Oryzias latipes: one gene and its partner. The protein of the gene in region 1 interacts with the protein of each later gene in a biochemical or structural test. Links are inferred from orthologs where the notes say so. Each region holds a gene or a part of one and is shown on either strand. Other genes may lie near its edges.

Region 1 (3,654 bases):
AAAGTAAATTACAAAGGGTACAGACACCTCTTTAATGTCATCTAACTGTAAACTCAAATTTAAAGGACAGATTTACTAAGCAGAACCGTTGACGTCAGATCTTGAAGAATTTTGCCCCGGGGCTCGTTTAATACCGGGGCTCGGTACCCATCCCTAGGAAAGGGGCACGGTGGAGAACAATCACCAAAGCGGTTGCTTTGCATACAGCCAAAGACATGGTACCCATGTATACCGGGGAGAAGTTGGGGTTTGTTAATTTAATTAAAACCTTAGACCCCAGATATGAGCTGTATTGTTAATCCTTTAGAAAATGCTGCTACTCTCAAGGTGAATGTTTGTCTACTTTTAGTCTAGACTACAAAGTGTGACTGAAAATACAGCTGGGACTTTGATTCCAAGAGTGTGTTCATTTATTTACTATTCATCCCAGAAATGGAGGTTACATTTGTCTTCCGTTTCATTAAATAAAAGCAAAATTTGCTTTAAGTTAGGCCTGGGTAGAAAAAATTGATTGAATGAATTACTTCAAATTTTTTGTTACGGGCGATTTCAAAAATAACTAAATTGAGTTTTGTGTAATGGCGCATTTTTGGCTCCCCAGAGCTTCCGTAGCGTTAGTTTCACACAGCGGTATGGCCAGCGACAAACAACATCATACCACCAGAAAACAGCAAGCGACAACATGGCTAGCGGTGAGAGTGGAACGTTTGTTCCCAAGAAAGGAATAAAATCATCTGTTGCTTGGAACTGGTTAGTTTGCTGCCACAGACGTGTGGCAGCAACATCTGTGCCCCCCCACGCTGCAACATTTGCCTAAAGCCCATCGCAGTCAAAGGCTCTCACTCACTTTAGCGAGGCACGCCTATACAGTTAGTTCATTAGTTAGATAGTTAGTTGTTACTGTTATTTGTTAATAAAGAATACTGCGTTGTAATTATTACTTGTACTGGTCTTCATTTGAGACACGGCTGCCAGAGGATTTTTGGGAAAAGAAAATCTGGATTTTCCCAAAAATAAATCGTCCATAACAACAAATTTGAAAAAATCAATAAAATCAATTTATCGCCCAGCCCTAAGACACAAAATTCAAAGTTTTATGGTCAATCCTTTACAAGCATTACCTGGTTGAACTGGCCCTCAGAGATGCCATCTCGATAGTAAATGATCCGAGTGGGCTTGAAGCGTGTGGACTTGTAGAACTGGATCAGCAGCTCCCTCACCATGTTGGCCAGGTCTTGGATGATATCTTGGCGGTGCTGCTGCACTCGCACTGTGGCACAGTATCGACTGGGATGAGCATCCATGCTACCAACCACCTACAGAGCAGGAAAATAAGCTTTAAACGTCAATTTAAGCAGTGTACTGTAGATTATTCATGGAACTACAGACAACAACTTCAATAAATACGCTTTCAAAGCTGCTGTACAATTATAGTTGGTCAAGCAGGAGCAAACTACTGGTCACCTTGGAGCAACAGTCATTTTGGACATAATTATGAAAGGGAAAAACTAATAATAGCAGTGACATTTACATGATCTAGTAAATTAGTAAAAGATGAATTTGAATGTCACCCACAGCAGCAATGGAAGGTTTCTTTCCATCTCCAGCAGGGGGATGAGTCACATCTGAACCCAGGAAAATCACAGGCTGCTGGAAAACCATGGGCCTGGAAACGGAGGAGGCAAAAGCTCCAAACATTAAAACACAGCATGGAGTATTTTTAAGCCTCAAAAGAGTAAGAACAAAAGGCAAAATACACATTTTACTGAGGAACGAGTTAAAATGAGTCGTCACTTTACCTGCCCTGAGGGAGGAGGATGTTGTTGACTCCACCCAGCTTGACATTGATCTTCAAGCAGAGGTTGGAGAGAGTCTGGGGTGTGGTCTTCTGCACATTTTTGACCTGCACACACTGAGTCGCCATTCCAAGTACTGTATCCCCGACACGCTTCACCTCAGCTAGGAAATACACAACGTCAGAAAGATGTAAGGAATACTTTTTTTTTGCATCATAATTAGTGTACACCTGTTTAATGATCCCTTTAGAAAGACACACACCATGAGGGGCTCCACCTTTTCTTTTTACATCATAGTCCATTTAAACTAATATTAACTCATTTTAGCTTGTTAATTCCAGTAAGTTAAAAAATATATATTTTTCCATGGGGAATTCTACCACTTTAAATCCATAACATTACTTTTAACCACAAATCTTCTCTTTCATGTTGAACTGAACAGTTACATTAATAAAAAAAACCTGATCTTTTTAAAATACAAATCTACCTTTGACCAATTATGCATCGTTATAATCTTACACAAAACCGGATGTAAGAAAATTGCATCCATGTCCAACTCAGTGGGAGTGAAGAGAGTTCGCTCTGAGACTGGAGGGTCGTGAGTTCAATTCTCCTCTAAAAGATGGGACCCAATGCCTCCCTGCACCACATTCAGCATTAAAAGAGTTGGATTGGGGGGTTTAACCAACAAATGGTTCTGTCTGGGGCTCACTGCTCCCCCAGGGGATGGATCAAATGCAGGGAACAGATAAGCGGGACTTTAACTTACCATAGACGGGTGTCTTTCCAGGGAGGATGACCACCACCAGCTGAAGTCCCTGGTAAGTGTACTTGAGGTGTCTGAACATGGGCTCCACGCTGTCTGCTCCCTGGGCGTACTTGCAGAAGCATGGCTGACCTTGGATGGGCATCCCAGCATCGCGAGAGATCTTCCTTAGCTGATCAGTAAAAGCTCTGAGGAATAAAGACAGAAAATGGTTCAATATTTAAAAAGCCTTTGGACTCCGTTAAGCTTCAAATGAGAATCTACCTCGTCCAGCAAAGAAAAACATTTACTGTCAACAAAAACTTGAGCGTTTTAACCTCAAAAACTCTTCTTGTTTTTTTTGTTGTTAATTTAAAATTTTAAAGATTTCCATAACTTAAGACTACATAAAATAAATAAACCCCTTGATGCCTGAATTAATGTCCTGCTATGGAAAAAATAAAAAATAATTTTGCTTTCATGCAAATGCTCGATTAAAGTAGATTTGGAGCCGAAGTATCCTTATTATCAGTATCTTGATCCATATTTGCATCAATAGGCGTCAAGGGATTAAAGGGTCATTACCAATCAGTGCACTGTGAGAATCAGCTACACAAATCCTACAAGCACTCCCACTCCCACAAAGCCTCACAGACAGAACTGGACTGGATGCACAAGCAAAAACTGACTAACAGGACTTTTCTTAAAGCTCCAGAGTTTTGGGATTTGTTTCAGAAATCTCCGATAAAACAAAGATTTTGAGCTTTGTGCATTTCAAATCCGGCTGCAGAATATTTTGAGAAAAAATTTTTTTTAATCTCATTTTGAAAGTTTTAATTATTCTTTTTAAAACGTATAGCAGTAACTTTTGCTCCATATTGTTCCGCATTCACATCTTCGAGTGTTGGAGCTTAAAGTGCACCACATCATCTCGACCACACATGCTCCAATCGTGTTTATGAGTGGATTTTCATCAAACCAGTTTGGTGGGACACAAACATGACTTTTGAAGAGGATGCAGACACATCGTGAGAATGCGACTCACTTGAGTAGGAGTTCAGTGCACTGTCTCTGTGGGGCAAAGCAGGCGATGGCCCACACTTTGATCTCGAT
Region 2 (3,654 bases), on another chromosome or scaffold:
TGTGCATTTTCTGCAATTTCAACACTTTAAAAGTACAAGAAATATGTGGATTCTTTTTAATAACATTGTTATGCTGTTGCTAGTAAATGATGAGTATTTCTTAGCATTAATGTGACTTCTGGTGCTGCATGGTGGTTTTGCTGATGGTCTAGTCTGGTTGATACATCGTGAGTTTCAGTTTCCTGCAGGCGTTGAGACTTCCATCCGTTTAACGTCATGGTAGGATGGTCTTAATGTTCTTCAGATGTGAGAAAGACTACTCACGGGAGCCCGCAGCTGCAGGAACGGCAATTCGCAGGTTCCCGGCTGGTAAAAACTCTGTGAAATAATAGTAAACTGATCTTGGCACAGATTTTTTTTCTTTCTCCAAGCACTGGTACTACTGCGCACCCCTCTGGCATCGCATCGCACCCGAGAAGGACTGGTATAGTGAAAAAAGTTTTTTATAATTACAGATTTGTCTGCGAGCCAGATGTGGCCGTCAAAAGCGCCATATATGGCTCGCAAGCGATAGGTTCCCGACCCCTGGTTTAGATGTTTTTATTAAGTCAAATCCAATAGGGTTTCAAAGTATTGGTACAAAAGTTGATATGTTGGTTGCTTTTTTTTAAGCAAAAGAATTGCCTTTATTTATTTTTTTGATAAAATAAATTTTGTTGAATGACAAGTGGAGGATTTTTAATTTCTTAAAACATTTTTTCAAGATTGGAGCCATAAAAGTATCAGAGAATCCAGAGTTACATTTTAAATGTGAGGAAAAACCAAGACCCCGAGCTGGCTTACATCAGCAGCAACTTCATCACTGGCCACAGCATCAGATTGTTTAATCTTTTCTGTTGTTATAAAGTCGAGTTATGGGATCCAGACTTAAACGTTTTTTTTAAATGTCACTAAACTAAGTAACTGAGTATCTTCAACAACTTTGCTGTTAGACTCGTGCAAAAACAGCTGAACTTGAGGGCGCGTTCAGACCGGACACATTTGATTCGCTTTGAGTGAACTAGAGTTTGTTTCCCCTGATGATCCAGATCAACATTTCAGTCTAAATACACCCTGGTCCGACTCCAGGACCGCTCTCCGACCCATCTTTGGGGGTGGTCTCGGTTTGTTTCCAATTGGACTGGGCTTCGGTTCGCTCTGAGATTCCTCAGTCCAAATTCAATCTGTCCTCGGAGCGGAACAACTAAAACGGCCACCATGACCAGTGGTCATGTGATGTAAACACAGTAGGAATGTACCAACCGATGAGGCGTAGACAAATGTAAAATAATGAAAGGCCCCAACTCCTTACTAGTTAGAACGTTTATTTTAACACAGCTGAAAACGCCTCTTACATTCTTTCCCATCTCTCATTACGTGGCATGCGCTTGGCGCTGCTGTGATGTCACCCTAAAAGCTACCTTGAAGTTTCCTTAATAGAACCACAACCATGAAACACAACTCATTAAAATGTGTGATCGGATGAATGCAGGCTCATCAAAACATCCTTTGACGTGACACACATTGCTTCTCACTGTTTTCCAGACAATCTATATGTCATGTAGTTGTAGAGTTAGATAAGTTAATTCTTCTCTGAGTTCTGGTACAACGCCTGTCCGTCCTGGGGGAGGACCCCTCCTTCATGCGGACACCCCTGAGGTTTCTTTGGGTTTTTTTTCGGAATCTGTTTTTTTAAGGAGTTTTTCCTTACAGAGAAGGAGGGTCTAAGGCAGGGATGCCAGTTTAGTGTAGTCTGTTTAGTTAAAGTTTAGTATTCTCCCATTGAATTCTATGCATTTATAATCCTTTTTGATTGCATGTTTACCTTACAATTACTGGTACACAGCCCATTGAGACGACTGTTGTTGTGAATTTGGGCTATACAAATAAAATTGAATTGAATTACCTGTCGTCTGCTCATCACTACAGTTGCTAGCATCCTCTGAGCTAAAGCTCACACGGCACACGGTTACTGTTTACCAGTAACCGCCTTACAGCATGCCTCCCTGTACCAAAGTAAGAAGTAAAAAGTGGTCAAAACTGATGTTCAAAACTAAAATATAAAGTTTAACTGTCCCGAAAAGGATTGTAAAGCGCAGCACGCCCGTCTTTCATTTGTTTTGACTCGCCCTCGTAGTTCCTGGCCAATCACTGAATAGATCTTAAGTCATGTGGTTTTGTGTGTAAGCTTTGGTCCGTAACAGAATGGGTCGCTTGATGCCGGTCTGAATACAGACCAAACGCAAGGATCGGGACTTGATCCGTAAGGATTTTCCAGTCTGAATACACCTTAAAAAAATCTCAATCTTTAATGATAAGCAATCCTTAAGCTTGAAATTGTTTGCAGTGACAAATATTGTTCATCTTTAATAACTTATATTTTGGAATGCACCTACTAAACAACCTTTTAGTAAAATCAGCACTTAAACAGATGCAACAGGAAAACCAACAAACAAACGGAAGTTGTTTTTTTACACCAAAAAATTGAGTTTGTCGTTTCTGCTGACAGTGAACCGGATAAAGGAAGGAGGATGAAATGAGATAAGAGGACGACTGGAGGAGCACAGCCCCTTCACCTCCCCTCTAAAGCATGGCGGGTCTGCAGCTCATCACCCCTGCCACATCACCCATGGGGCCCTTTTTCGGTCTCCCGTGGCAGCAGGAGGCCATCCATGACAACATCTACACACCCAGGAAATATCAGGCAAGGCGGGCGGCGCCGCCGCATGGACCAGCTCTGTGGTGCGAATGCTCGTCATGTGACACCGTTTGCTCTGTGCTTCTTAGGTAGAACTTCTTGAAGCAGCTCTTGAGCACAACACCATCGTCTGCTTGAACACTGGCTCAGGGAAGACTTTTATTGCAGTGCTGCTCACAAAAGAGCTCTCCCATCAAATCCGGGGAAGCTACCAAGAAAATGCCAGAAGGACGGTTTTCCTGGCAAACGCAAGTAGGTGCAGAACATCAGAGGTCTGGAATGTTTGCATGAAAACGTTGACGTGGGTCTGTGTGCTGCAGCCTCGTCTGCGGTCCAGCAAGCAGCTGCAGTCAGGACGCACTCTGACCTCCATGTGGGGGAGTATAGTGACCCGCAGGAGGCCACGACGTGGAGCCGCCAGCGCTGGAGTCGGGAGATCGCAGACAATCAGGTTTTTCTTTTCTGTTCTGTTGGTGAAAACCAGTTGCGAGGGTTCATGTGTCTCCTGATTAGGCCTGCACAATATACCGCAAATTTATCGTTATCGCAATATCCAGCTCTGCAATATGCATATCGCAAAAGACGGCGAATATCGCAATAAATCGCAAACCCAAAATGTGTTAAAACAATCTTCTAGCAGCTTGAAGCATTTAACGGATCAAATAAATCCCTTTATGCTTTGACCAATCAGATGGACGCCTTCCCAGTGTTGACCAATCAGATGGAGGCCTATAATGTTAACCCTGGTCCTGAAGAGCCTTAACCCTGCCTGTTTTCCAGCTCTCCTTAACCAGCTTGCTGTTGATTGGCTGACTCAAGTGATTTCACATCCTGATTGACGGAACACACCGGATTTTGGTTATCATTATCGAGCAGTCTAGGGAGAATTGGAAAACAGACAGGGTTGAGGCTCTTGAGGACCAGGGTTAGCCACCCTGACGTTTGTCCCCCATGTCGATGAGGGTCATTTGGAGTAT

What was found.
Region 2: the proteins of protein argonaute-2 (region 1) and dicer1 form a complex in vitro, tested with the Homo sapiens proteins (2 studies listed by BioGRID and IntAct). The link is inferred for Oryzias latipes from reciprocal best matches to the Homo sapiens genes AGO2 and DICER1.

The regions. Positions count from the first base shown.
Region 1 is NC_019869.2:10,709,103-10,712,756, reverse strand, and holds part of protein argonaute-2, read right to left. Parts: coding exon 3,587-3,654; intron 2,751-3,586; coding exon 2,566-2,750; intron 1,960-2,565; coding exon 1,800-1,959; intron 1,667-1,799; coding exon 1,576-1,666; intron 1,317-1,575; coding exon 1,122-1,316; intron 1-1,121.
Region 2 is NC_019880.2:4,303,573-4,307,226, reverse strand, and holds part of dicer1 (endoribonuclease Dicer), read left to right. Parts: intron 1-2,488; 5' UTR 2,489-2,569; coding exon 2,570-2,683; intron 2,684-2,766; coding exon 2,767-2,929; intron 2,930-2,997; coding exon 2,998-3,128; intron 3,129-3,654. UniProt on the Homo sapiens protein: Double-stranded RNA (dsRNA) endoribonuclease playing a central role in short dsRNA-mediated post-transcriptional gene silencing.